Linked DNA regions of Anolis sagrei. The protein of the gene in region 2 interacts with the protein of the main gene of each other region in a biochemical or structural test. Links are inferred from orthologs where the notes say so. Each region holds a gene or a part of one and is shown on either strand. Other genes may lie near its edges.

Region 1 (7,096 bases), about 23 Mb from region 2:
TGAGTCCACACTGGGCCCTTCCACACAGCCCATAACCAAGAATATCAAGGCAGAAAATCCCACAATATCTGCTTTGAACTGCGTTATCTTAATCCACACTGCCATATATTCTAGTGCCAAGCAATTGACTGAATGCAATTGGAATGAATTGTTTATTGTACTAGCCATAGGCCATGAAGTTCAAAGCAGATCATGTGGGATTTTATTCAGCTGTGTGGAAAGGGCCACAGTGCTATGGAATCATGGGAGTTGTAGTTTCACAGGGCATTTAGCGTCTGCTGCTGCCCTGGGAAAACTACAAATCCCAGGATTCCACTGAGCCACGGCAGCTAATGTCAAACTGAGCCAAGATGCACCCCTTGTAAAACTGTATCTCCCAGGAGACGACAGCATTGAGCTATGGCAGCTGAAGTGGTTTGGACTGTGTTGATACCGACGAGTGAAAGCAGGAGGAGGAGAAGCAGCCTTCTAGTTCAAAACAATGAAGCAGAAGACGTAGAGATGCAAAGCCTCTCCTCAAACACAACAACTCGCAATGCATCCTCTCTCTCTCTCTCTCCGTCTGCTGAGGAGAAAGGCGAACGCGTGACTAATGCACCTGAAGCAGGAGATGCAACCATTCTGACAGGCTGTCTCCATCACTCTTCCGGCGGCCTCCTTCCACGGAGGCGCCTTTTCCTTCACTCCCTCCCTGCTTTCCCTCCCTCGCTCGCTCGCTCGCCTACCTGGCCGTGTGGCAGCGCCGCCGCCTGGCGATCCCCAGAGAGCCCTCGCGCATCCTCCTTTTCGCCGCCGAACCGGGCGGAGAGGCTCGCGAGGAGGCGGGACTCGGGCCAGCTCAGCCAATCAGCTCCCAAGCCGCACTCCCACAACGGAACCCCGCCCTTACTTTACCACCGCCTCGGAGACGTCAAGATTGCTTTTTTTTTCCCACGCCGCGCATGCGCGCTGGCCGCGGCGAGATTTACGGCCCTCAAGAGCGGGATTCCAATAGGGTCCTCTTGGCGCATGCGCGTGGTAGCCTGTTGAAGCCAGGCAAGATTTGGGAGCTATTTTTCATAGAATCATACAGAGTTGGAAGAGACCTCATGGGCCATCCAGTCCAACCCCCCTGCCAAGAAGCAGGAATATTGCATTCGAATCACCCCTGACAGATGGCCATCCAGCCTCTGTTTAAAAGCTTCCAAAGAAGGAGTCTTTTGAAAGACTCTGGCCCCTTCCACACCGTTGAAAAAAAAAGCACCCACATTTTCTGCTTTGAACTGGAATATATTGCCATAGAACAATAGACTTGTATACTCTCACCCAACCTATTCAACTTGTATGCAGAACATATGCGATGTGCAGGGCTTGACGAATTGCTGGAAGAAACATTAACAACCTTAGATATGCAGATGATACCACTTGGATGGCCAAAAGCGAGGAGGAGCTGAGGAGCCTTCTAATCAAGGCGAAAGAAGAAAGTGCCAAAGCTGGGTTGCAGTTAAACATTAAAAAAAACACCAAGATCATGAAGATACATTTCTTGCCTTGTAAGGAATCAAAAAAAAATTGGCATTTTTTTTTGCATATGATATGGGGGTGGGAGTAGCTGATGACACTATTGATGTTAGCTAGATAGACACAATTCTAGTTAGGTATAGTTTGCATGGATTTTCCTTTGAAAGTGTCTTAAACTTGAGTGAATGGAATAATATGTTATACCTACTTTGTACAAGTTGCTGTCTACATACAGATCTAGACATGTTCCAGTATTTCTGAATGTATATTTTCTGATTATATATGAGATTGTGTCAAATAATTAATTAAAAAATATTTAAGAAAAAGAAGAAGAAAGAAATAGGAGACAAATGTTATATAGAATGTTAATCTATAAGGTTCATCTCAAAAAGGATTAATATGTAAAAGAAAACAATCCTCATGGTGGTGGGAACTATAAATGTTGGGTATGTATTAAACTAAATATATATAATAAAAAAGGGAAAAAAACACCAAGATTATGGCAACCTCTTTCAAAAAACAAATTTAAAGGCGGGATTTAAATTGACAGTGAACAACTTTCTCATCTCCTCCAGCTGACTTCGCTGGTTGAATTAGGGCCTTCCACTCAGTCATAAAACCCAGAATATCAAGGCAGATAATCCTACAATATCTTCTTTGAACTTGGTTATCTGAGTCCACATTGCCATATATTCCAGTTCAGTGCAGATGCTGTGGGATTTTTCTGCCTTGATGAGTAAAAGTAAAGGTTTTCCCCTGACATTAAGTCTAGTCGTGTCCAGCTCTGAGGGGTTCGTGCTCATCTCCATTTCTAAGCCAAAGAGCCAGCGTTGTCCATAGACACCTCCTAGATTATGTGGCCAGCATGACTGCATGGAGCACCGTTTTCTTCCTGCAGAAGCAGTAACTATTGATCTATTCACAGTTACATGTTTTTGAACTGCTATGTTGGCAGAAGCTGGGGCTAATAGCAGTTCACCCCACTCCCCAGATTCGAACTGCCAACCTTTTGGTCAGCAACTTCAGCAGCTCATTAGTTTAACCTGCTGCACCACCGGGGGCTTCATATTCTGGGCTATATGGGTATGTGGAAGGAACCAGAGTCCACGCTTCCATATATTCCAGTTCAAAGCAGATACTGTGGGATTTTTCTGCCTTGATAAGTAAAGGTAAAGTTTTCCCCCTGAGATTAAGTCTAGTTGCGTCCAACTCTGGGGGTTGGTGCTCCATCTCCATTTCTAAGCTGAAGAGCCAGCGTTGTCCATAGACGCCTCCAAGGTCATGTGGCCAGCATGACTGCATGGCGTGCTGATACCTTCCTGCTGGAGCAGTATCTATTGATGTACTCACATATGCATATTTTCGAACTGCTATGTTGGCAGATATTGTGGGATTTTTCTGCCTTGATAAGTAAAGGTAAAGTTTTCCCGCTGACATGAAGCCTAGTTACGTCCAATTCTGGGGGTTGGTGCTCATCTCCATTTCTAAGCTGAAGAGCCAGTGTTGTCCATAGATGCCTCCAAGGTCATGTGGCCAGCATGACTGCATGAAGCACTGTTACCTTCCCGCTGGAGCAGGCATGTAGCCGGGGGGGGGGGGAGGCTTGGGGGGCTTCAGCCCCCCCCCCCCCCCCGAAATTCTCATGGTGGTTCGCGAAAAGGCCTTACTGGTGCATTATTTAAACTGTTATATTTATTCATATCATGATCTGATCACCATGCTCAATACATCCCATATGCATGAGGGTATTGGGGTAACAATACAAAAGGTTTGCTAGGGTAGACCCTCTTTCACTCAGACTCAGCCCCCCCCCCCCCCCCCCGAAATGAAATCCTGGCTACGGGCCTGCGCTGGAGTATGGAAGGCCCAAGAGTCCATACTGCCCTATATTCCAGTTCAAAGCAGAAATTGTGGGACTTTATTCAACTGTTTGGAAGGGGCCCCAAGCCAATCTATATAAATAAAAATGTAATGTTCATGTGCCGTTTGGTTCAATTCCATCGTTGGTGGGGTTCAGAATGCTCTTTGATTGTAGGTGAACTATAAATCCCAGCAACTACAACTCCCAAATGACAAAATCAATTTTTTTTGAGTGAAGGACATACATTGGGTTGTTAGGTGTCTTGTGTCCAAATTTGGTGTCAATTCCCCCAGTGGTTTTTGAGTTCTGTTAATCCCACAAACGAACATTACATTTTTATTTATATAGAAGATATAATTTATTTGTCGTGTCAAGATAAACACACATATATACACACACAAAACACAGATACACAGACTGGGCCACAGTAACACGTGACAGGGGACGGATACTCCTATATAAGCGCCAATATCGCCTGACAGCAGCTTTCCTAGCCTTCCACACGCTCCTCCCTTTCTCCCGCCATAGCTGCATCCCAGTTTCTCTTCTTCCCGCCCCTTTCGATCACGTGACCTGGTGCTCACGCGTTGCCAGGGAGAATCCGTAAGCATCTTCTACGGCGCTCCCTACCTTAGTGGCGCACTCGAACTCACTCGTTTCGACCAATGGCGAAGGGCGTTCAGGGCCAGTTGTCCTATAAGCAACGCGACGGGGGCGGGACTAAGGCTCCGGCTCCGTTAGAGCTGCTGGACTCACCCAACGGGGTGGGAGATTGGGTTAAGGGCGCCTGGGTTGTTATTTGTCGGAGGGGAGGAAGGAGGGAGGAAGGGGTCTCGCCTTCCCAGCGGCCCTGGCTCCCTCTCCTCGCTTCCCGGGGTCGGTGGCCCCTCCTGCGGTTCTTGCCTCGTAAGTGGCCTCGCTTCCAGCCTCGACCACTGCTGCAGGGGATGGGTGTGCCCAGGCCAAGGCCGCAGTGGGGGATTTGAGGGGAAAGGCGAGGAGAGAGTCAGTCAGGTGACTGGAGTTGGTTTCTGAGGGGAAGAACCATTCTGCCCCCCACTTTTACTTCCCTGGCTCACTGCTATGGAGTCCTGGGAGTTGTAGATTTACAAGGTTCTCCGACAAAGGAGGCTATTTTTCTCAATGAACTACAAATGTCAGGATTCCATAACATTGAGCCATGACAGTTGAAGTGTCAGACAGTATAGATCAGGCATGGGCAAATTTTGGCCCTTAAGTTGTTTTGGACTTCAACTCCCACAATTCCTAGCAGCCTCAGGCCCCTTGTTTTTCCCCCTCAGCTAAGCGGCTGAGGGGGAAAAAGAAGGGGCCTGAGGCTGCTAGGAATTGTGGGAGTTGAAGTCCAAAACAACTTAAGGGCCAAAATTTGCCCATGCCTTATATATAGATGTGTCTCAGAGTTGTAGTTTGACACCAGCACTCTTTGGCAGGGAAGATCTTGCAAAACTACAACCCCCACAATCCTATAGTGAGCCATAGCAGTACCCTTAGAAACCAGTTAACAGCTGGATTAAAAGTCGCATTCCACCATAGAGTGAGAATTAGAAGAGTTTAATTATCTTTTTAATTAGGTGAATTAAAATGGTTAAATTAGATGTTGGCATGTGCAGGTTGAGTATCCTTGGGGCTAGAGGTGTTTTGTATTGTAATACCAATCTTATAATGTACTGGTACTTTACTTACTTAGGCGATCCCTCATTGTCCGAGTAGGATTGTCTTCCAAGATCAGTGTACTGGCTGTGGGTCCGTAGGTGACTGTGGAGCCCTATTCTTGATCTGCATGTCCTCCCACAGTGAGGGCATCCGTTTCTAGGTGGAAGGCAGTCCCGGTCAGGGTTGACTTGACGCGCCATCCTCTTGGCACATTTCTCTCTTTCGCCCTCCATTCATGCCTCTTCAAATTCTACAGCACTGCTGGTCACAGCTGACCTCCAGCTAGAGTGCTCAAGTGCCAGGGCTTCCCAGTTCTCAGTGTCTATGCCAGAGTTTTTAAGGTTTGTTTTGAGCCCATCTTTAAATCTCTTTTCCTGTCCTCCAACATTCCATTTTCCATTCTTGAGTTCGGAGTAGAGCAACTGCTTTGCGAGACGGTGCTTGGGTATCCGGACAACGTGGCTGTTCCAGCAGAGTTGATGGCGGAGGACCGTCGCTTCGATGCTGGTGGTCTTTGCTTCTTCCAGCACGCTGACATTTGTCTACTTGTCTTCCTAAGAGATATACAGGATTTTTAGGAGGCAACACTGATGGAATCGTTCTAAGAGTTGCATGTGGCGTCTTCAGGCGTATAGCAGGGTTTGGAGGAGAATAGCTTTATAAACAAGCACCTTGGTATCCCTACGGATGTCCTTACGGATGTCCCGGTCCTCAAACAATCTGTGCTTCATTTGGAAAAATACTGCACTCGTATTATATATATTGCAGTATAATAGTACAGTAAAATATAATCTAAATCAATCCCCTGGCATACAGGGATATATTTTGCAATTCTGGATAAGAGATGCCCAATCTCTATTTGAACATGATGTAGACACTGTAAGCACACCTTACTAGTTTTGTTTGTTTGATTACTACTATTTATATTGTTCTTTCTTATTATAAGTCGCTCTGAGTCTCCTTGGCGAGAGGGGGCAGGATATAAATAAAGTATTATTAATAATATTATTATTTGTTTAAAAGTATATTTTTTCTCCCTAGCTCATGCATAAGGATGCCTTAGAAAAAGACCATGGACAAATATAGTAAGGTGCAAAAGATTGGTGAAGGGTCTTTTGGAAAAGCAATTCTAGTCAAATCAAAAGAAAATGGCAAACAGTATGTTATTAAAGAGATCAATATATCTAAGGTGAGTTTCTCTAATTCAGTTTCCTTTTATTATATTAACTTTTCAAATTTATCTTCCATAATCCATACCTTTTTTCTTACTCATTCTCATTTTTTTAAAGATGTCAAATAAAGAAAGAGAAGAATCTAGAAGGGAAGTTGCCGTGTTGGCCAACATGAAACATCCAAATATTGTCTTGTACAGAGAATCCTTTGAAGGTTAGGCTTTAAAATAACATGTGATGTCAAAACGATATGTTGAAGTGTGAAAACATGAAACCAGATCAAAGGGGATGAATTGGTAGGCTTTGTTTTATACTTTTGGTTATAGTCTTTCATTGGCAATCCATGTATCATTTATAAAGATAAGCAGCATGCCAGCTAAATTCCGTTGACTTTTCCAACTATGCAAATGGTAGTGCAGATGTTCTTCTGGTTATGTGTTACAAGCTGATTTCATAACTGCATACTCCAGAGATAGGTGTCTCTAAGCACAATGTTATCTGAACTAACTAAAGAACACTGTTATATACTGAGACTATTATAAGCTTCTAGACAATATTCTTGTTTTATTTACCATGATTCTCTATATGATTGAGTAGAAATATAGTAAAGGTTGGAATCTAGCTGCAAGTTTCCTATTCGGGTTTTATAATTTAATACCTGCAAAATAAGAAGTTGATATTGGGTTGCCGTGAGTTTTCCGGGCTGTATGGTCATGTTCCAGAAGCATTCTCTCCTGATGTTTGGCCCACATCTATGGCAGGCATCCTCAGAGGTTGTGAGGTATATTTGAAACTATACGAGGGAGGTTTATATATCTGTGGAATGTCCTGGGTGGGAGAAAGAACTCTTGTCTGCTTGAGGCAAGTGTGAATGTTGCAATTGGCCACC
Region 2 (7,253 bases):
TTCAAAGCAGATTTTATATGGCAGTGTAGATGGGTCCTTAGTGATCCATGCCAACCTTCCCATTTTTGAGAGTTAGGAAAAGTATCCTTGAAAAAGTCCATTTTTGGATAGAGAAAAGGATCCATCCCAAAAAAAAGAATTCACCAAATGTTTATCCTATTTGAGTTAGGCCCCTGTATTATTTTAAAGTGTTTTTTGCACTACAAATAAGATATGTGCAGTGTGCATAGGAATTCATTCATATCATAGAATCATAGAATCAAAGAGTTGGAAGAGACCTCATGGGCCACCCAGTCCAACCCCCTGCCAAGAAGCAGGAATATTGCATTCAAATCACCCCTGACAGATGGCCATCCAGCCTCTGTTTGAAAGCTTCCAAAGAAGGAGCCTCCACCATTCAGAGAGTTCCACTGCTGAACGGCTCTCACAGTCAGGAAGTTCTTCTTCATGTTCAGATGGAACAAATTATATATTATATTTTTTTCAAATTATAATCCGGCCCTCCAATCGTTTGAGGGAATGTGATCTGGTTTACAAAGTTTGAGGACCCCTACAATAACTAAAACAAATATAAACATATTAGTATTTCAATAGGAAGTGTGGGCCTGCTTTTGGCTGATGAAATAGGATAGTTGTTGTTGTTGTGTGCTTTCAAGTCGTTTCAGACTTAGGTTGACTCTGAGTGAGGGCCGGGTAAATGACCTTGGAGGGCCGTATGCGGCCCCTGGGCCATAGTTTGAGGCCCCCTGATCTAGACACTAGACTCCTATGAATGCAGGCCAAAATCCCTCTAGAATCATAGAATCAAAGAGTTGGAAGAGACCTCATGGGCCATCCAGTCCAACCCCCTGCCAAGAAGCAGGAATATTGCATTCAAATCACCCCTGACAGATGGCCATCCAGCCTCTGTTTAAAAGCTTCCAAAGAAGGAGCCTCCACCACACTCCATGGCAGAGAGTTCCACTGCTGAATGGCTCTCACAGTCAGAAAGTTCTTCCATATGTTCAGATGGAATCTCCTTTCTTGTAGTTTGAAGCCATTGTTCTTGCTCCCTCCTCCCTATGACTTTCTCTCACGTATTTATACATGCCTATCATGTCTCCTCCTTCTCTTCTTCAGGCTAAACATGCCCAGCTCTTTAAGCCGCTCCTCATGGGGCTTGTTCTGCAGGCCCTTGATCATTTTAGTCACCCTCCTCTGGACACATTCTAGCTTGTCATTATCTCTCTTCAATTGTGGTGCCCAGAATTAAGACTCAATATTCCAGGTGTGTTCTAACCAAGGCAGAATAGAGAGGTAGCATGACTTCCCTGGATCTAGACACTAGACTCCTATGGATGCAGGCCAAAATCCCTCTGATCCTGCAAAGGGAAAGCATCCTTCAGAATCCAAGTAGGGAAGGATGAGGCTGGATCTACCCTACCATATGACCCAGAATCTGATCCAATTTGGAATTGGATTATATGAGTCTACACTGCCAGATAATCTAGAATCAGATCCTGGGATATAGAGCAGTTCCAGGCGAGAAGCAGCCAAAGGGAGAGACTAATATTTACCTGTTGCACACTGGCCACTTTCATGTAGGAGACCAAAACCAGGAGCAAAGGCACGTGGATGTTTTTGCCACGGAATAACCTGCCACCTGGGTGAAAGAAGAGAAGGGGGGAAAGATCAGGAAAGAGGAATCCCTTGTCAGCTTTCCCTAGAGCAGTGGTTCTCAACCGTCCTAATGTCGTGACCCCTTAATGCAATTCCTGATGTTGTGGTGACCCCCAACCATCACATTATTTTCTTTGCTACTTCGTAACTGTCATTTTGCTACTGCTTTGAATTGTAATGTATATATCTGATATGCAGGATGTATTTTCATACCCGATACATCCAAATTTGAATACTGGTGGGGTTGGAGGAATTGATTTTGTCATTTGGGAGTTGTAGTTTCTGGGATTGATAGTTCACCTACAATCAAAGAGCATTCCGAACTCCACCAATGATGGAATTGAACCAAACTTAGCACACAGAACTCCCATGATCAACAGATAATACTGGAAGGCCTTGGAGGGCCCTTGACCTTGAGTTTAGGAGTTGTAGTTCACCTATATCCAGAGAGCACTGTGGCTTTTAAAAAATGATGGATCTGGAGCAAACTTGGCACAAATACTCAATTTACCCAAATGTGAACACTGGTGTAATTTGGAGAAAATAGACCTTGACATTTGGGAGTTGTAGTTGCTGGGAATTATAGTTTACCTACAATCAAAGAATATTCTGAACTCCACCAACAATGGAATTGAGCCAATCTTGGCACACAGAACTTCTATGACCAACAGAAAATACTGGAAGGGTTTGGTGTGCATCAACCTTGATTATGGGAGTCGTAGTTCACCTACACCCAGAGAGCACTGTGGACCCAAACAATGATGGATCTGGACCAAACTTGGCATGAATACTCAATAGGCCTAAATGGTGGAGTTTGGGGAAAATAGACCTTGACATTTGGGAGTTGTAGTTGCTACAATTTATAGTTCATCTACAATCAAAGGAAATTCTAAACCCCATCAACAACAGATTTGGGCCAGAGTCCCATAAGGAACCCTCATGACCAACAGAAAATACTGTGTCCTCAGGGGTCCCGACCCCCAGGTTGAGAAACACTGCTCTAGAGGGAAGAGAAGCCCCCTTTTTACCGCTTGGCAGGGAGGCGAGGGAGAGAAGGTCCTGCAGGATCTGCACCAGGGTCTCGATCTGCTTCCCTTCCTGGACGTTCTTCAGGCGGACGATGAGTTTCCTTAAGGCGGCTTCTCGCCTCTCCTCGTCCTTCTCCTCTTCCTCGCAGGCTGGCACCCCCTCAGTGGCCATGGCTGCCTTCCCACTAAGGGCCAAGATGCCCAGGAGTCGCCTCCCGCCAGTAAACAAATCTTTTGAGTCAGCAGAGGAAGCGGCGGGTTGTTTGGAAGTCGCCTCTCCCCCCGCTTGGCTTGACTTTCCTTTCCAAGCTTGGTGGGTGCAATGCGCGCCGCGGCCAGAGGTGGCGCTAGAGGGAGACGAAATCCCCGCGGGGGCTTTGACGCGCAGCTCCCTTTGCCAATCCCGCACAAGCCCCTCTTTTGCAACTTCCTCCCTTACTAAAGTAACCCCCTTCTCGTCCAATATGGGAATATTACACCACTTGCTCCTTCCAGGGAAGGAAGTCTGTATAGGAGGAAGGGGTGGGGAAGGAAAGTCCGCATTTGTGGCTCAAATCAGGGCTTTCCGTTCCCTCTTGGAAAAGGGGCAGCCCAAGGTTTCAGTTTCATGGTCACGAGTTTGAAAGCAAAAGGCAAAAACAAAACAGATTGGAAGATGAAGAAGTCCCTTAAGTAGTGGGAGGTGGACACTGTCTTTTGCAACACAGGGCCCTTCTATATCCCAGGATTTGATCCCAAGTTTATCCCGGATTATCTGGCAGTGTGGACTCATATAATCCGGTTTAAAACAGAAAACCTGGGATATAGGGCCTGTCTAAAAGGTCCCTTCTACACGACCGTATAAAATCCAGATTATCTGCTTTGAAATTGATTAAATAGTGTAGACCATATTATCCAGTCCAATGTGGATTATCTGCTTTGATAATCTAGATCAGGGATCCTCAAACTTTTTAAGCAGAGGGCCAGGTCACAGTCCCTCAAACTGTTGGAGGGCCGGATTATAATGTATTGTCGAAGGCTTTCATGGCCGGAATCACTGGGTTGTTGTAGGTTTTTCGGGCTATATGGCAATGTTCTAGAGGCATTTTCTCCTGACGTTTCGCCTACATCTATGGCAAGCATCCTCAGAGGTAGTGAGGTCTGTTGGAACTAGGAAAATGGGTTTATATATCTGTGGAATGACCAGGGTGGGACAAAGAACTCTTGTCTGCTGGAGCTAAGTGTGAATGTTTCAACTGACTACCTTGATTAGCATTTAATGGCTTGAAAGTGCCTGGGGGGAATCTTTTGTTGAGAGGTGATTAGATGTCCCAGACTGTTTCCCTTCTGTTGTTTTGCTTTTTCCTAGTTCCAACAGACCTCATTACCTCTGAGGATGCTTGCCATTCATGCAGGCAAAACGTCAGGAGAAAATGCCTCTAGAACATGGCCATATAGCCCGGAAAAACCTACAACAACCCAGTGATTCCGGCCATGAAAGCCTTTAACAATATGATGAAGAAGTCCCTAAAGTAGAGGGAGGTGGACACTGTCTTTTGCAACACAGGACCCTTCTATATCCCAGGATTTGATCCCAAGTTTATCCCGGATTATCTGGCAGTGCAGACTCATATAATCCGGTTTAAAGCAGAAAACCTGGGATATAGGGCCTATCTAGAAGGCCCCTCCTACACAAACATATAAAATCCAGATTATCTGCTTTGAACTGGATAAAATAGTGTAGGCTCATATTATCTGACCAACAGGTCGCAGGTTTGAATCCGGGGAGAGCGCGAATGAGCTCCCTCTATCAGCTCCAGCTCCTCATGCAGGGACATGAGAGAAGTCTCCCACAAGGATGGTAAAACATCAAATCATCCGGGCGTCCCCTGGGCAATGTCCTTGCAGACGGCCAATTCTCTCACACCAGAAGCAACTTGCAGTTTCTCAAGTTGCTCCTGACACGCCAAAAGAAAATTTATCTGAACAATAGGAAGAACTAGATTTAGTAAACAGAGTCCCAGAAGAACTATGGACAGAAGTCCGCGACATTGTTCAGGAGGCGGCAACAAAGTACATTCCAAAGAAAAAGAAAACCAAGAAGGCAAAATGGTTGTCTGCTGAGACACTGGAAGTAGCCCAAGAAAGGAGGAAAGCAAAAGGAAACAGTGAAAAGGGGAGATATGCCCAGTTAAATGCGCAATTCCAGAGGTTAGCCAGAAGAGATAAGGAACTATTTTTAAATAAGCAATGCGTGGAAGTGGAAGACAACAGAATAGGAAGGACAAGAGACCTCTTCCAGAAAATTAGAAACATTGGAGGTAAATTTCAGGCAAAAATTGGTATGATAAGAAACAAAGATGGCAGGGACCTAACAGAAGCTGAAGAGATCAAGAGAAGGTGGCGAGACTATACAGAAGATCTGTATAGGAAGGATAACAATATCGAGGATAGCTTTGACGGTGTGGTGAATGAATTAGAACCAGACATCCTGAGGAGTGAGGTTGAATGGGCCTTAAGAAGCATTGCTAACAACAAGGCAGCAGGAGACGACGGGATCCCAGCTGAACTGTTTAAAATCTTAAAAGATGATGCTGTCAAGGTGATGCATGCCATTTGCCAGCAAATGTGGAAAACACAAGAATGGCCATCAGACTGGAAAAAATCAACTTATATCCCCATACCAAAAAAGGGAAATGCGAAAGACTGCTCAAACTTCCGTACAGTGGCCCTTATTTCTCATGCCAGTAAGGTAATGCTCAAGATCCTGCAAGGAAGACTCCAGCAATACATGGAGCGAGAGTTGCCAGATGTTCAAGCTGGGTTTAGAAAAGGCAGAGGAACGAGAGACCAGATTGCCAATATCCGCTGGATAATGGAGAAAGGCAGGGAGTTTCAGAAAAACATCTACTTCTGCTTCATTGACTATTCTAAAGCCTTTGACTGTGTGGATCATAATAAATTGTGGCAAGTTCTTGGTGGGATGGGCATCCCAAGCCACCTTGTCTCTCTCCTGAGGAATCTGTACAAGGACCAAGTAGCAACAGTCAGAACTGACCACGGAACAACAGACTAGTTCAAGATTGGGAAAGGCGTACGGCAAGGCTGCATACTCTCACCCAACCTTTTTAACTTGTATGCAGAACACATCATGCGATGTGCGGGGCTGGATGAATGCAAAGCTGGGGTGAAAATTGCTGGAAGAAACATTAACAACCTCAGATATGCAGATGACACCACTCTGATGGCCGAAAGCGAGGAGGAGCCGAGGAGCCTTCTAATCAAGGTGAAAGAAGAAAGCGCAAAAGCCGGGTTGCAGCTAAACGTCAAAAAAACCAAGATTATGGCAACAAGAATGATTGACAACTGGAAAATAGAGGGAGAAACCGTGGAGGCCGTGACAGACTTTGTATTTCTAGGTGCAAAGATTACTGCAGATGCAGACTGTGGCCAGGAAATCAGAAGACGCTTACTTCTTGGGAGGAGAGCAATGTCCAGTCTCGATAAAATAGTGAAGAGTAGAGACATCAGACTGGCAACAAAGATCCGCCTAGTCAAAGCCATGGTATTCCCTGTAGTCACCTACGGATGTGAGAGCTGGACCTTAGGGAAGGCTGAGCGAAGGAAGATCGATGCTTTTGAGCTGTGGTGTTGGAGGAAAGTGCTGAGAGTGCCTTGGACTGCGAGAAGATCCAACCAGTCCATCCTCCAGGAAATAAAGCCCGACTGCTCACTGGAGGGAAAGATACTAGAGACAAAGTTGAAGTACTTTGGCCACATCATGAGGAGACAGGAAAGCCTAGAGAAGACAATTATGCTGGGGAAAGTGGAAGGCAAAAGGAAGAGGGGCCGACCAAGGGCAAGATGGATGGATGGCATCCTTGAAGCGACAGGACTGACCTTGAGGGAGCTGGGGGTGGTAACGGCCGACAGGGAGCTCTGGCGTAGGCTGGTCCATGAGGTCACGAAGAGTCGGAGACGACTGAACGAATGAACAACAACAGGAAGAACTTCCTGACTGTGAGAGCTGTTCAGCAGTGGAGCTCTCAGCCCTGGAGTGTGGTGGAGGCTCCTTCTTTGGAGGCTTTTAAACAGAAGATGGATGGCCATCTGTCGGGGGTGCTTTGAATGCAATTACAAGGGGATTCCATCTGAACATTAGGAGGAACTTCCTAACTGTGAGAGCTGTTCAGCAGTGGAACTCTCTGCCCTGGAGTGTGGTAGAGGCTCCTTCTTTGGAGGCTTTTAAACAGAAGATGGATGGCCATCTGTCGGGGGTGCTTTGAATGCAATTACAAGAAAGGAGATTCCATCTGAACATTAGGAAGAACTTCCTGACTGTGACGGCCGTTCAGCAGTGGAAATCTCTGCCCCGGAGTGTGGTGGAGGCTCCTTCTTTGGAGGCTTTTAAACAGAGCCTGGATGGCCACCTGTCAGGGGTGCTTTGAATTTGATTTTCCTGCTTCTTGCCAGGGGGTTGGACTGGATGGCCCAGGAGGTCTCTTCCAACTCTATGATTCTATCGAGTTCAAATCAGATGTAAATGATCTGCTCTGATAATCTGGATCATATAGCAGTGTAGAAAGG
Region 3 (7,295 bases), on a different chromosome or scaffold from region 2:
TCTCTGAAGTTCCAGTTGCCTTGACCTAGACAAACATTGACCTAGACAAATGTCACTCTGAGTCACCTTCGGGCTGATATGGGCGGGGTAGAAATTGAGTAAACAAATAAATAAATAAATAAATTCATCTCCCACGTTTCTCTCCGTCTGTACTTCTGGCAGGTTCTCATGAGAACGGATATCTGTTGCTTGGCAGAATGGGGTTGGACTGGATGGCCCATGAGGTCTCTTCCAACTCTATGATTCTATTATTTCCCCCAGGCAGGAAGCAGCCAGGCTTTGAAGCTACGAGGCTATTAAATGCTAATAAAGGAGGCCAATTGCAACATTTCCACTGGCCTCCAGCAGACAAGAGTTCTTTCCTCCACCTTGGACATCATTCCACAGCTATATGAACCTCACTTGCCTAGTTACCAACAGACTTCACAACCTCTGAGGATGCCTGTCACAGATGTGGGCGAAATGTCAGGAGAGAATGCTTCTGGAACATGGCCAGGCAGTCTGGAAAACTCACAACAACCCAGTGATTCCGGCTATGGAAGCCTTTGACAACACATACCTATCCTGCCAAACATAGCTTCGCATCCTTTGGCACACCGTGGGTAGATCAGGATTTTTTCATTCCCGATTTCAGGGCAAATCGCATTGTATAAACAGTACAGCCAAGGCGTGTCAAGGGCACCACAAATTCCCCCCTACACACGGGCAGGAACCTTTGCGAAATCACATTCCATCGGCAGAGCAAGGCATGTGCCATCGGAGGAGGAACTCGTCGGTTTTGCCCACAAGGACCAGAGCTAAGCATGGCATTCCAATCCTAGGTGAAGCACTCCAGGTTTTGGATCACAACTCCCATCACAGTCACTTCTCTGGAAATCTGAACCATGCCATGATTTAGAAGCTTACGAGAAGCTCAGCCTGTCATTGAACATCGGGAAAACCAAAGTGCTCTTCCAGCAGTCACCGGCAAATCCCTCTCCAATGACAGAAATACAGCTTAATGGTGTAACATTAGACAATGTTGACCATTTCCGCTCCCTTGGCAGCCACCTCTCCACCAAAATCAACATCGACACCGAAATACAACACCATCTGAGCTCTGCGAGTGCAGCATTCTTGCAAATGAAGCAGAGAGTGTTTGAGGACCGGGACATCAGTAGGGAGACCAAGGAGCTTGTTTACAAAGCTATTGTCCTCCCAACCCTGCTATATGCCTGCGAGACGTGGACTGTCTACAGACATCAACATTGAGACTGAAATACAACACCGCCTAAGCTCTGCAAGTGCAGCATTCTTGCGAATGAAGCAGAGAGTGTTTGAGGACCGGGACATCCGTAGGGATACCAAGAAGCTTGTTTACAAAGCTATTGTCCTCCCAACCCTGCTATATGCCTGTGAGATGTGGACTGTCTACAGACGTCAACATTGAGACTGAAATACAACACCGCCTGAGCTCTGCGAATGCAGCATCCTTCTGAATGAAGCAGAGAGTGTTTGAGGACTGGGACATCCGTAGGGAGACCAAGGTGATTGTTTACAAAGCTATTGTCCTCCCAACCCTGCTAAATGCCTGCGAAATGTGGACTGTCTACAGACGTCACATGCAACTCCTGGTACGATTCCATCAGCGCTTGCCTCCAAAAAACTCCTGCAAGTGCAGTATTTTTCCAAATGAAGCAGAGAGTGTTTGAGGACCAGGACATCCGTAGGGATACCAAGGGGTTTGTTTATAGAGCTATTGTCCTCCCAACCCTGCTATACGCCTGCGAGACGTGGACTGCCTACAGAGGTCACATGCAACTCCTGGAATGATTCCATCAGCGCTTGCCTCCAAAAAACTCCTGTAAGTGCAGCATTCTTCTGAATGAAGCAGAGAGTGTTTGAGGACTGGGACATCCGTAGGGAGACCAAGGTGATTGTTTGAAAGCTGTTGTCCTTCCAACCCTGCTATATGCCTGCGAAACGTGGACTGTCCACAGATGTCACATGCAACTCCTGGAATGATTCCATCAGCATTGCCTCCAAAAAACTCCTGCAAGTGCAGAATTTTTCCGAATGAAGCAGAGAGTGTTTGAGGACCAGGACATCCGTAGGGAGACCAAAGTGATTGTTTACAAAGCTATTGTCCTCCCAACCCTGCTATATGCCTGCGAAACGTGGACTGTCTACAGACGTCAACACCGCCTGAGCTCTGCAAGTGCAGCATTCTTCTGAATGAAGCAGAGAGTGTTTGAGGACCGGGATATCCGTAGGGAGACCAAGGTGATTGTTTACAAAGCTATTGTCCTCCCAACCCTGCTATACGCTTGCGAGACGTGGAGTGTCTATAGACGTCACATGCAACTCCTGGTACGATTCCATCAGCATTGCCCCCAAAAAACTCCTGCAAGTGCAGCATTTTTCTGAATGAAGCAGATAGTGTTTGAGGACCGGGACATCCGTAGGGAGACCAAGGGGCTTGTTTATAAAGCTATTGTCCTCCCAACCCTGCTATATGCCTGCGAAACGTGGACTGTCTATAGACGTCACATGCAACTCCTAATACGATTCCATCAGTGCTTGCCTCCAAAAAACTCCTGCAAGTGCAGCATTTTTCTGAATGAAGCAGAGAGTGTTTGAGGACCGGGACATCCGTAGGGAGACCAAGGAGCTTGTTTACAAAGCTATTGTCCTCCCAACTCTGCTATACGCTTGCGAAACGTGGACTGTCTACAGATGTCACATGCAACTCCTGGAACCATTCCATCAGCGCTGCCTCCGGAAAATCCTGCAAAAAGGGAAGGAAGGAAGGAAGGAAGGAAGGAAGGAAGGAGGAAGAGAGAGAAAAGAAGAAGAGAAATAAAAACAAAGGAAGAATGGAGAGAAGAAGGAAAGAAAGAAAGAAAGAAAAAGAATGAAAAAATTGAATGAAAAAAAGAAAGAGAAAAAAAGGAAGACAAAAAGAGAAAAAACTAACAAAGGAAGAATGGAAAGAAAGAAAGAAAAAGAGTATCAGAAAGAAAGAGAGAGAGAGAGAGAGAAAAGGAAGAAAGGAAAGAAAGAGAAGGAGAAAAAAGAAAAGAAAACAGAAAAAGGGAGAAGGAAGAAAAGGAAAGAAAAAGAAGAAAGGAAGGAAAGAAAGAGAATTAGAAAAATGTAAGGAAAAAAAGAAAGAAAGAAAGGAAGGAAGAAAAGAAACAAAGAAAGAGAAAGAGAAAAAGGAAGGAATAAGGAAGGAAAAAGAAAAAAGGAAGGAAAGAAAGAAAGAAAAAGAGAAAAAAATGAAGAAAGGAAGGAAAGAAAAAGAACAGAAAAAGAAAAAGGAAGGAAGGAAAGAAAAAAGAACAGAAATTAAGAAAGAAAAAAGAAAGAAGGAAGGAAGGAAGGAAGTACGAAAAGAAAGAAAGAAAGAAGAAAGAGAAAAAAGGAAGGAAGGAAAGAAAAAGGAAGGAACGAAAGAGAATGAGAAAAAAGGAAGGAAGGAAGAAAACGAAGAAAGAAAGAGAGAGAAAAAAGGAAAGAAAGAAAGAAAAAGAAGAAGGAAGGAAGAAATAAAGAAAGAGAGAGATAAAAGATAGGAAGAAAAGGAAGAAAGAAACAAACAAAGAAAGACAAAGAGAAAAAGGAAGGAAGGAAAGAAAAAGAAAAAAGGAAGAAGAGAAAGTGAATGAAAAAAAAGGAAGGAAGGAAGGAAAGAGAGAAACAAAGAAAGAGAAAGAAAAAAGGAAGGAAGGAAGAAAAGAAAGAAAGAAAGAAAGAGAAAGAGAAAAAAAGAAAGCAAGAAAAAAGAAAGAAAGAAAAAGAAAAAGGAAGAAAAGAAAGAAAGATAAAAAGGAAGGAAGAAAAGAAAGAAGCAAAGAAAGAAAGAGAAAAGGGAAAGAAAGAAAAAAGAAAGAAAAAGAAAAAGGAAGGAAAGAAAGAGAAAAAAGGAAGGAAGAAAAGAAAGAAAGAAAGAAAGAAAGAAAGAGAAAGAGAAAAAGGAGGGAAGGAAGAAAGAAAGAGAAAGAAAAACGAAGGTAGGAAAGGGAGAAAGAAAGAAAAAGAAGGAAGCAAGGAAAGAAAGAAAGAAACAAACACCAGGTAGGCAGGAAGGGGGCGTGCCTCCAGGTGCGACTCCACCCCTCTGGTCACGTGGGCGATGGTCCCATGGCACCTCCTTCCAGGTAGCCCAGGATTCCAGACAGGCCACGCCCATTGGGGGGCCTGGCAGCCAATGGGAGCGCGGTGCGGCCAGGTGGGCGGGGTCCAGGTGTGTGCTGGGGCTTCCACCCTGCCAGTGCCCAGGTGAGGCTGGTGGAGTGAGAGAGCCTTTCTTCCTTCCTTCCCTCTTGTTTTCTTATTGGGATCTAACTGGATCTAAGGCGGATCAGGACCTGCGAGTGGACGGCTCCCAGCCAAGGGAGAACGCTCCCAGACATGTCCCTCCCGAAAGGTAAGAAGGGCCAGGTAACTTCCAGGGAAGGGGATGGTGGGATTGGCAGTCTCCCCAGCCTTTAGAAGAAGGCTGTGGTGTTTTTAAGCCTATATTTTGCTTGTATTTAGAATCATAAGAGATGGAAGGGAACCCTAAAGGTCATCTAGGCCAACTCCCTTCTCCTAGGTAGGAGAAGCACCATCAAAGCCTTCCAGACAGATGACCATCCAGCCCTTGCTAGATAATAATAATAATAATAATAATAATAATAACTATAATTATAATTATTATATCCTAACGTTGGAAGAGACCCCCTAAAGGTCATCTAATCCAACTCCTCTCTGCCTTCCTGCAGGAAAAGAACCACCAAAGCCGTCCCAACAGATGGCCATCTGGCCCCAGCTTTATTATTGTTGTTGTTGTTGTTGTTATTATTATTATTATTATTATTATGTGTTATGGAATCATAAGAGTTGGAATGGACTCCTAAAGGTCATCTTGTCCAACTCAGAAAAGAACCACCAAAGCTGTCCCGACAGATGGCCATCTGGCCCCAGCTTTATTATTATTATTGTTGTTGTTGTTGTTGTTGTTATTATTATTATTATTATTATTATTATTATTATTATTATTATGTGTTATGGAATCATAAGAGTTGGAAGGGGCCCCTAAAGGTCATCTAGTCCAACTCGCCTCGGCTAAGTAGGAGAAGCACCATCAAAGCCCTCCCAGCAGATAGACATCCAGCCCCTGCCAGATAATAATAATAACAACAACAACTATTATTATTATTATTATTATTATTATTATTATTATTATAGTATCCTAGGGTTGGAAGAGGCCCCTAAAGGCCATCTAGTCCAACCCTTTGCCCGGCAGGAGAAGCACCATCAAAGCCCTCCCAACAGATGGCCATCCAGCCTCTGCCAGATAACAACAACAACAACAACTATTATTATTATTATTATTATTATTATTATTATTATTATTATTATTGTATCCTAGGGTTGGAAGAGGCCCCTAAAGGTCATCTAGTCCAACTCTTTGCCAGGCAGGAGAAGCACAATTAAAACCCTCCCAACAGATGACCATCCAGCCACAGCTAGACAATTGTTGTTATTATTATTATCATTATTATTACTATAGTATCCTAGAGTTGGAAGAGGTCCCTAAAAGCCATCCAACCCTTTGCCAAGTAGGAAAAGCACTACCAAAGCCCTCCCTACAGATGGTCATCCAACCCCTGCTAGATAATAATAATAATAATAATAATAATAATAGAAGGTTCCTAGAGTTGGAAAAGACCCCTAAAGGTCATCTAGTCCAACTCTTTGCCAGGCAGGAGAAGCACCATTAAAACCCTCCCGACAGATGACCATCCAGCCCCAGCTCGATAATTGTTGTTATTATTATTATTATTATTATTATTGTATCCTAGGGTTGGAAGAGGTCCCTAAAGGCCATCTAGTCCAACCCTTTGCCAAGTAGGAAAAGCACTACCAAAGCCCTCCCGACAGATGGTCATCCAACCCCTGCTAGATACTACTACTACTAATAATAATAATAACTATTATTATAGAATCCTAGAGTTGAAGAGACCCCTAAGGACCATCTCTCTTCTAACTCAAGGATATAATAATAATAATAATAATAATAATAATAATAATAATAATAACTATTATTATAGAATCCTAGAGTTGGAAGAGACCCTAAGGACCATCTAGTCCAACTTCCTTCTGCCTTCACGCAGGCAAAGCACAATCAAAGCCCTCCCGACAGATGGCCATCCAGCCTCCAAAGAGGAAGCCTCCACTAGACTCCACTGCTGAAAAAGCTCTCCTTATGGTTAAACAATGACATTTTGTAGAACAAGTTTGACTTCCGTGTTGTGATCTTAATTATGGATTTGCACCATAACAAAAGGCGGTCCTTGCCGGCACGGCTGGCTTCAAGCCAAGGTGGGAGTGGATTGCAACTCCCATTATCCACAAAAGCTTCCAGGTTGACACGATTGTTAGAAAAAGCCTGCCAGATCCAGGCGCGGCTTCCTCTTCCACTTCCTCTCTTCGGTTTCGGTACCTGTTCTTCCCAAATATTGCCTTACGTTGCACCAAGGCTGCAAAACATTCTTTTGTCGTTGTTGTTAGGAGATGATGCATGCACCAAATGTTTGCTTCGTGCATACTTTCTTAGTAACATGCTCTGGTATGATCAAAAGCCCAACATGTGATGGATATGCCGAGTGACTGATGGCAATATAGTATATGGTTCATGGTTAGGAATGGTGGGAGTTGAAGTCCAAAACACCTGGAGGGGCCAAGCTTGCCCATACCTGTGATAGAGTCTGGGATATTTGCAAAGTTTTGCAAAGTTTGGCAAAGTTTTGCAAAGTTTTGCACGCCTTCTCTGCAAGAGAGAGGGATGGTGCCTCAGCAGACTACAACTCCCAAGGATTCATCCTATTGAGCCTCACTGTGGGACATAATTGTGCTCTTTTTTTCTGTTTTGCAAGCTGCAGAAAGGCAGTTGTGCGTCATAGACGTCAGGCTCTCTCGGCCACCTTTCTCGGGGCGTGTGGCGGTTGTGTCATGCTTTGTGTTTGTGATTGCTTACTCACCTTCACGGTAGAAACTTGCGTGGCGTTGACTGCTTTCCAAAGCATTTCCACCTCCTGAATCTTTCAAGAAGCAATTTATTTACTTCCAAGGGGTTGCAACTCCCAGAATCCTTTGAGCCCGGAGCTTTGCAAAGTGTTCATGTTGGGGACGTGCTTTTTAAACATGCCAAAAGCGGGAATTCGGTTTTACTAGCAAAGCATGGGCAAACTACAGCTCTCCAGGTGTTTTGGAAATACAACTCCCACAAAGTTTGCCCGTGCCTGAGTTAAACCAACACCTTATAT
Region 4 (6,923 bases), on a different chromosome or scaffold from region 2:
GAATACCTCTAGACCATGGCCATATAGCCCGAAAAAACCTACAACAACTCAGTTTGGACAGCGATATTTTCAGAAAACGTAATTGTCTAGGCAACCGCAATCCGGACCTGCCAGCCAGTGAGTCATCATTTGGATGATCCAAAGCACTCATTAGCCAAACATCCTCAAATCTCTCCATTAAAAAAAAGGTTTGGCTACAAATCTAGAGGGGCAAATCAGTGAAACACAGTGTGATTTGCGTCTGCAGAAACCAATTTATGTATTGAGTTGTCAGGCCTGGAGCCAACAAAATTCAGAAAGATCAAGTGCCATTTCAAACCTTTGTCCATTTATCCTAATGAATCGCCTTTTTCGCCTTCCCTTTTGAGAATGGAGTGATTCGCACCTTGGAACATCTTTTCAGGGAAGACAAGAGAGAAAGGAAGGATGCATTCTAGGCAAGCCGCCCTGCTTCTGGTTCAACGCTTTCGAAAGAAGGGACAAAAAGGCTCCCATTCAAGCAGCATTCCTCTCCCTCTGCTTGATCAGAAGGGCTAATAAAATACTGAAAGGGGATCTGGGGTGAGCTTTTCTCAACCAATTGACAGAAACAACCATTAAACTAATTAAGCTTTTCCCTTCCTCCTTGTATTTGCTTTTTTGAATTTGTTCCTTCTGTTAGTGACTCTGTCAATTGAGTGGTGACACAGGATACAGACCAAAAAAAATCCTTTTTTTATTTTCATGGCTCAAAATGATATCCTTAGTTTAGTGTGATTTGAGCCTCAGGCTTTAATTTCGGGAGATCTTGTGCCTTCCCAAACATTATGTAAAATGTCTCAGACAGTCATTTAAGTCAGGGCATTTGAGGTTTTCGTGTCTAATTAAACAATCCAATTAGTCTCTGAATAATTTTATATTTAGCTGTGAAACAAGTAAACAGGTTGAATGACTTGGTTTGAAGAGCAGAGCCAGGATGCTTGCTTCTTAATTACAGCTCCCAGAAACCCCCAGCTAGCAAGACCAATGTTCAGCAGTGGAACTCTCTGCCCCGGAATGTGGTGGAGGCTCCTTCTTTGGAAGCTTTTGAACAGAGGCTGTGTGGCCATCTGTCGGGGGTGCTTTGAATGCAGTTTTCCTGCTTCTTGGCCAAATGGGGTTGGATTGGATGGCCAATGAGGTCTCTTCCAACTCTATGATTCTATGATTCATGCAGACTGGGAAAATGGGTTTTCCAGATTTGCCAAAAAGGGAACGAGAGGCGTTGAACTGATGATGCATACTTTGTCAAATATGACATAGACCAGTGGTTCACAACCTGTGGGTCCCCAGATGGGATTTCTGCGAGTTGTAAGCCAAAATACCTGGAGACCCAAAGGTTGAGAATCAGTGCCATAGATCATCATGATGATTTATTCATCATGTCAGAAGCGAATTGAGAATACAGTTATAATGAATAAAAAACCAGAAGCTGGCCATGTCAAGTGGCTGTGCTGTGCTGTAAGAAGGTCCTTATTGTGCATGTGGCAGGACACAGGTTGCATTGTAGTATGTGATCTGTGGTTTGCTCTTCTCCACACTCGCATGTCATGGACTCCACTTTGTAACCCCATTTCTGAAGGTTGGCTCTACATCTCATGGCCCGCGAGCACAGTCTGTTCAGCACCTTCCATGTTGCCCAGTCTTCTGTGTGCTCAGGAGGGAGTCTCGCATTTAGTATCAGCCACAGATTGCGGTTCTGGGTTTTTAGCCTGCCACTTTTGGACTCTTGCTTGCTGAGGTGTGCTTGCGAGCATCTCTGGAGATCTTAGAAAATAATTTCTTGATTTAAGGTGTTGGCTTGCTGGCTGATATCCAAACAAAGGATGGGCCAGAGATGTCAATGCCTTGGTCTTTTCATTACAGACTGCTACTTCCTGACAGATATCAGGTGGTGCAATACTGGCTAAACAGTATAATTTTTCCAGTGGTGTAGGGCTTAGACATCCTGTGATAATGTGGCATGTCTCATTAAGAGCCACATCCACTTCTTTTAACATGGTGATATGTATTACACACTTGGTATGCGTATTCTGCAGCAGAGTAGCAAAGCGCAAGGGCAGATGTCTTCAATGTTTATGGTTGTGATCCCCAGGTTGTGCCAGTCAGCTTCCGTATGACATTATTTCTAGCACCCACTTTTTGTTTGATAGTGAAGCAGTGCTTTTTGTAAGTATGTGACTTGCAGTATAATGATGATGATGGTGGTGGTGGTGGTGGTGGTGGTGGTGGTGAAGAACTTATTACTCGCCTCTCCTTGAAGTTTGAAGCGTAATACTACATGATTCATACAGAGGGATTAAACACAAAACTATTAAAATGTCTGTCTATTTTCCTGTCTGTCTGTCTGTCTGTCTGTCTATCTATCTATCTATGTATGTATGTATATGTGCGTTTGTATGTATCTTTCAAGATGGTCCCCACTTCCAGAGACCATTACAACTCCCACCAACTACGAATCTGGACCGAACTTGGCAAACCCACCCATCCCGCAATGACCAAAATAAAATACTGGAGGCTGGGGAGGTTGGGGGCTGGGGAGGAGATGTACCCTGGACGATGGGGATTGCAGTTCACCCTGAAGGAACTTCCAGAGAGCACCGTGAACCCCATCTATGATAGATCTGGACCAAACATATCCATCATGACCAACTTTAAATATTGACAGGGTTTAGTGGGTGGCAATAGCAAAGAATGATGGGAGTTATAGTTCACACACAATCAAAGAGCATTCAGATCATAACCCATGATGGACTTGGATTAAATGTGACACACATACCCATCATGACCAGCTTTAAGTACTATCAGGGTTTGGGGAGCAATGACAGAGGATTTGGGGAGTTATAGTTCACCCATATGTGAAGAGCACTGTGAACCCCACTGATGATGAACGTGGACTAAGCTTGGCATATGTACCCATCCTGACCAATTTAAAATGCTGGTGCGGTTTGGGGGGTATTGACCTAGCATGATGGGAAATGTAGTTAACCCATATCTTTTGCATTTTCCTATGGGTGAGATAGTAGAGATGACTATAAACAAACTATATTATTTATGCATACTGAATACATGAACAAATAAAAGCGAGTTGAAGGTTTTTAAGCAGAGTCTGAATGGCTCTGTTGGGGGTGCTTTGATTGTGCTTTTCCTCCCTGGCAGATAAGGGCTGGACTGGATGGCCCTTGGGATCTCTTCCAACTCTATGAGTTGATTTATTTATTTGTTGTGTCAGGGCAACCAGTCAATTGTATTACATTTCTAACAGAACAAAACAAACAAACAGACAGACAAAATACAAAATTTGCGAGTTTGGTAGTTGATTAAATGTCCTTTGACCAGTATCTGGCCACTTGGAGTGCCTCTGGTGTTGCCGCAAGAAGGTCCTCCATTGTGCATGTGGCAGGGCTCAGGGTTCATTGCAGTAGGTGGTCAGTGGTTTGCTCTTCTCCACACTCGCATGTCGTGGATTCCACTTTGTGGCCCCATTTCTGAAGGTTGGCTCTGCATCTCGTGGTGCCAGAGCGCAGTCTGTTCAGCGCCTTGCAAGTCGCCCAGTTTTCTGTGTGCCCAGGGGGAGTCTCTCATTTGGTATCAGCCATTGGTTGAGGTTCTGGGTTTGAGCCTGCCACTTTTGGACTCTTGCTTGCTGAGGTGTTCCAGCGAGTGTCTCTGTAGATCTTAGAAAACAATTTCTAGATTTAAGTCATTGACGTGCTGGCTGATATGAGTCGATGACATAGTAGCATACATTAAAGCTGAGACAATATATTGCTTTCCTGCAGAGCGTAAGCCATAGCTGGGAGTGACCTTTGCTTCTTCGTTTGTGTTTTGTTGGAGCTGATGACTTCGTCAGGGATTATTAATTAACCATCCCTCTGATGAGAAGCAGTGTAGTGTGTGTCGCATTGCACAGTGTGAAAGGAATCAGCCTGGAAAGGGGAACACAATGTCCACCCGGTACCACCATGCAGCTGCCGATGGCAACCTGGAATTGCTGAAGGAAGCCACCAGAAAAGATCTGAACACTTCCGATATGGATGGGATGACTCCAACTCTGCTGGTGGCCTATCATGGCAATCTGGACGCTCTGGAAATCATTTGCCGAAGAGGGTAAGTACCGTCAGCCTATGGACAGATCACAACATATTGTGACTGCAAATGTAGGGTGTCCTTAGCTTATAATTTAGGGAGAATAAATTTGATATACCCTCAAAAATGTATAGCCCCTTAAAACAATTAAAGATTTCATTAGTAGAGAAGTGTCACAAAATTGCAGTAGGTACTTGAAATGATTAGTGTGTGTATTGTCCAAGGCTTTCATGGCTGGAATCACTGGATTGTTGTAGGTTTTTGGGCTATATGGCTATGTTCTAGAAGCATTCTCTCCTGACGTTTCGCCTGCATATATGGCAAGCATCCTCAGATTAGTGCATGATTGTACACCAGACATGGGCAAACTTTGGCCCTCCAGGTGTTTTGGGTTTCAACTCCCACAATTCTGGACAGTCTCGGGCCCTTTCCTTTTCTTTTTCCCTTTCCTTTTCTGCTTAAGTGGCTGAGGGGGGAAAGGAAGGGGGCTGAGGCTGTTAGGAATTATGGGAGATGAAGTCCATAACACCTGGAAGGACCAAGTTTGCCCATGCCTGGTGTACAATCATGCACTAATCTGAGGATGCTTGCCTTAGATGCAGGCGAAACGTCAGGAGAGAATGCTTCTAGAACATGGCCATATAGCCTGAAAAACCTACATTTCTGATGCCAATCAATCTGTGTCAAAGTTGATCCAGGAAAGAGAGCCAAGGGCAGTCCACACCCAAAACATGGCTGGAAGAAGGAAATAGACAACATATTGCTTTGTACTTAATAGGAGTTCTGTGTAGCTTTGATGATGATGTTGATGATGATATATTGAATTTCTTACCCATTTCTCAAGGTTTGAGGTGATTGATAACAATAATAACCATAATAATAATAATAATAATAATAATCAAAGTATGGATTGTCAATGTTGCAGTCCCAGGTGACAGCAGGATTGAAGATAAACAACTGGAAAAGCTGACATGATACAAGGATTTAAAGATGGAACTGCAAAGACTCTGGCAAAGCCAGTCAAGGTGGTCCCAGTGGTGATTGGCACACTGGGTACAGTGCCTAAAGACCTTGGCCTGCACTTAAACACAATTGGCGCTGACAAAATTACCATCTGCCAGCTGCAGAAGGCCACCTTACTGGGATCTGCGCGCATTATTCGCCAATACATCACACAGTCCTAGACACTTGGGAAGTGTTAGACGTGTGATCCAATACAACAGCTAGCAGGGTGTCTGCTGTGGACTCATCTTGTTGTGTTTCTAATAATAATAATAATAATAATAATAATAATAATAATAATACACTTTATTTATATCCTGCCTTTTTCTACATACTGAACAGCAACATACAACACAAAGATAAAGGGCTTCCCATTTTTCTATCTCTGGTGTCTGGAGGCAATGCTCAACTCCAGCCATGGGAAGGTGCTATTGTACCATTTTTCCATGCCAAGGAGCCTGTTGTCCATGGACATCTCCGATTGTGTTACTGGCATATCTGCAATGTGAATGAGGCACCATTTTACCTTCCCGCCGAGGCGGTACCAATTGATTACTCGCATTACATGCTTTTGAACTGCTAGGTTGGCAGGAGCTAGGGCTGACAGTTGAGAGCTCACCCTGACTCACAGCTTTGAACTACCAACTTTCCAGTCGACAGCTTTCCTGCAGCTAACGGTTCAACCTGCTGTGCTACTGTGGCCTCATAAAAACAGAAAACCATTAAAAACACATATATTAAAAGATGTAGACATAAGAGTAAGACGGATTAAAACTCATTCAATAACATGCCAGTTTAAAACGAAAGCGTCTAGATTAGAACTTGGGACTCAGAAAACCATTCCTTTTAGATCAGCCATTTACAGACGTATGATACTAATTGACATAAAACATACACAAGCTAATTTGTATGTATAGAGAACTTTAAAAATAATTAGAATAATTCAGATAGAGTGTGCCCAAGTCTCAGGTCCTCCTCTTTACTTCTCAGATGGGAAGAATCTCAGGGCAAGAGCACAGCCTTGAAAAAATGTGTATGTCTGCATGTGTATTTTCTCACTCTCTATTTTTTTCCTGTGGTATTTTATCCATTTCCGATATAATATCTCTTAAAATAAGACTCCACTATAGGACACGTGAAGGGCCGTGGTGGTGCAACGGGTTGAACCACTAAGCTGCCAAACTTGCCAAAAGTTCAAATCTGTGGGACAGGGTGAGCTCCTGTTGCTAGCCCCAGCTTCTGCCAACCTAGCAGTTCGAAAACATGCAAATATGAGTAGATCAATAGGTTCTGCTTTGTCGTGAAGGTAACAGCACTCCCATGCAATTATGTTGGAGGTGTCTATGGACAAAGCTGGCTCTTTGGCTGAGAAATGGAGATGAGCACCACCTCCCTGAGTCAGACTCAACTAGACTTAATGTCAAAGGAAACCTTTACTCTAGTACATGTGGCTATACAATACTAATAATCTAATAATATCCACTGGGGTTTAGTTCCAGAACTCCCCATGGAAACCAAAATCCATAAATACCAAAGTCCTATTATATACAATCGCATAATAAAATAGTGTCCTTGAGATAAAATGGCAAAATCAAACTTTGCTTCTTGAATTTTTAAAAATATATATTTTCAAACCCAGAGTGGCAATATCCCTGGATGCTAATCCATACGTACAAAGGGCTGACTGAATGTAAATAAATAAAATTAAATGTCCTGCTTTCACAATAAAATTTCTAGTTTTAATCACTTTTCATTTGTTATTTTCTATCACTGGCCTTTGGGCAATACTAAAAGTAATATGGTGAAAACCATTT

Evidence for each region.
Region 1: the proteins of LRRK2 (region 2) and NEK1 interact on a protein array, tested with the Homo sapiens proteins (2 studies listed by BioGRID and IntAct, with this or other methods). The link is inferred for Anolis sagrei from reciprocal best matches to the Homo sapiens genes LRRK2 and NEK1.
Region 3: of the proteins of LRRK2 (region 2) and dual specificity mitogen-activated protein kinase kinase 3-like, one has a biochemical effect on the other in vitro, tested with the Homo sapiens proteins (2 studies listed by BioGRID). The link is inferred for Anolis sagrei from reciprocal best matches to the Homo sapiens genes LRRK2 and MAP2K3.
Region 4: the proteins of LRRK2 (region 2) and ankyrin repeat and SAM domain-containing protein 4B interact on a protein array, tested with the Homo sapiens proteins (2 studies listed by BioGRID and IntAct, with this or other methods). The link is inferred for Anolis sagrei from reciprocal best matches to the Homo sapiens genes LRRK2 and ANKS4B.

Annotation. Positions count from the first base shown.
Region 1 is NC_090025.1:58,804,881-58,811,976, reverse strand, and holds the start of NEK1 (serine/threonine-protein kinase Nek1), read left to right. Parts: upstream 1-4,078; 5' UTR 4,079-4,267; intron 4,268-6,076; 5' UTR 6,077-6,107; coding exon 6,108-6,224; intron 6,225-6,324; coding exon 6,325-6,421; intron 6,422-7,096. UniProt on the Homo sapiens protein: Phosphorylates serines and threonines, but also appears to possess tyrosine kinase activity. Involved in DNA damage checkpoint control and for proper DNA damage repair.
Region 2 is NC_090025.1:82,026,515-82,033,767, reverse strand, and holds the start of LRRK2 (leucine-rich repeat serine/threonine-protein kinase 2), read right to left. Parts: upstream 3,024-7,253; 5' UTR 2,860-3,023; coding exon 2,688-2,859; intron 1,643-2,687; coding exon 1,557-1,642; intron 1-1,556. UniProt on the Homo sapiens protein: Serine/threonine-protein kinase which phosphorylates a broad range of proteins involved in multiple processes such as neuronal plasticity, innate immunity, autophagy, and vesicle trafficking.
Region 3 is NC_090035.1:3,668,074-3,675,368, forward strand, and holds the start of dual specificity mitogen-activated protein kinase kinase 3-like, read left to right. Parts: upstream 1-4,283; 5' UTR 4,284-4,395; coding exon 4,396-4,411; intron 4,412-7,295. UniProt on the Homo sapiens protein: Dual specificity kinase. Is activated by cytokines and environmental stress in vivo. Catalyzes the concomitant phosphorylation of a threonine and a tyrosine residue in the MAP kinase p38.
Region 4 is NC_090034.1:16,409,737-16,416,659, reverse strand, and holds the start of ankyrin repeat and SAM domain-containing protein 4B, read left to right. Parts: upstream 1-3,923; 5' UTR 3,924-3,964; coding exon 3,965-4,128; intron 4,129-6,923. UniProt on the Homo sapiens protein: As part of the intermicrovillar adhesion complex/IMAC plays a role in epithelial brush border differentiation, controlling microvilli organization and length. Plays a role in assembly of the complex.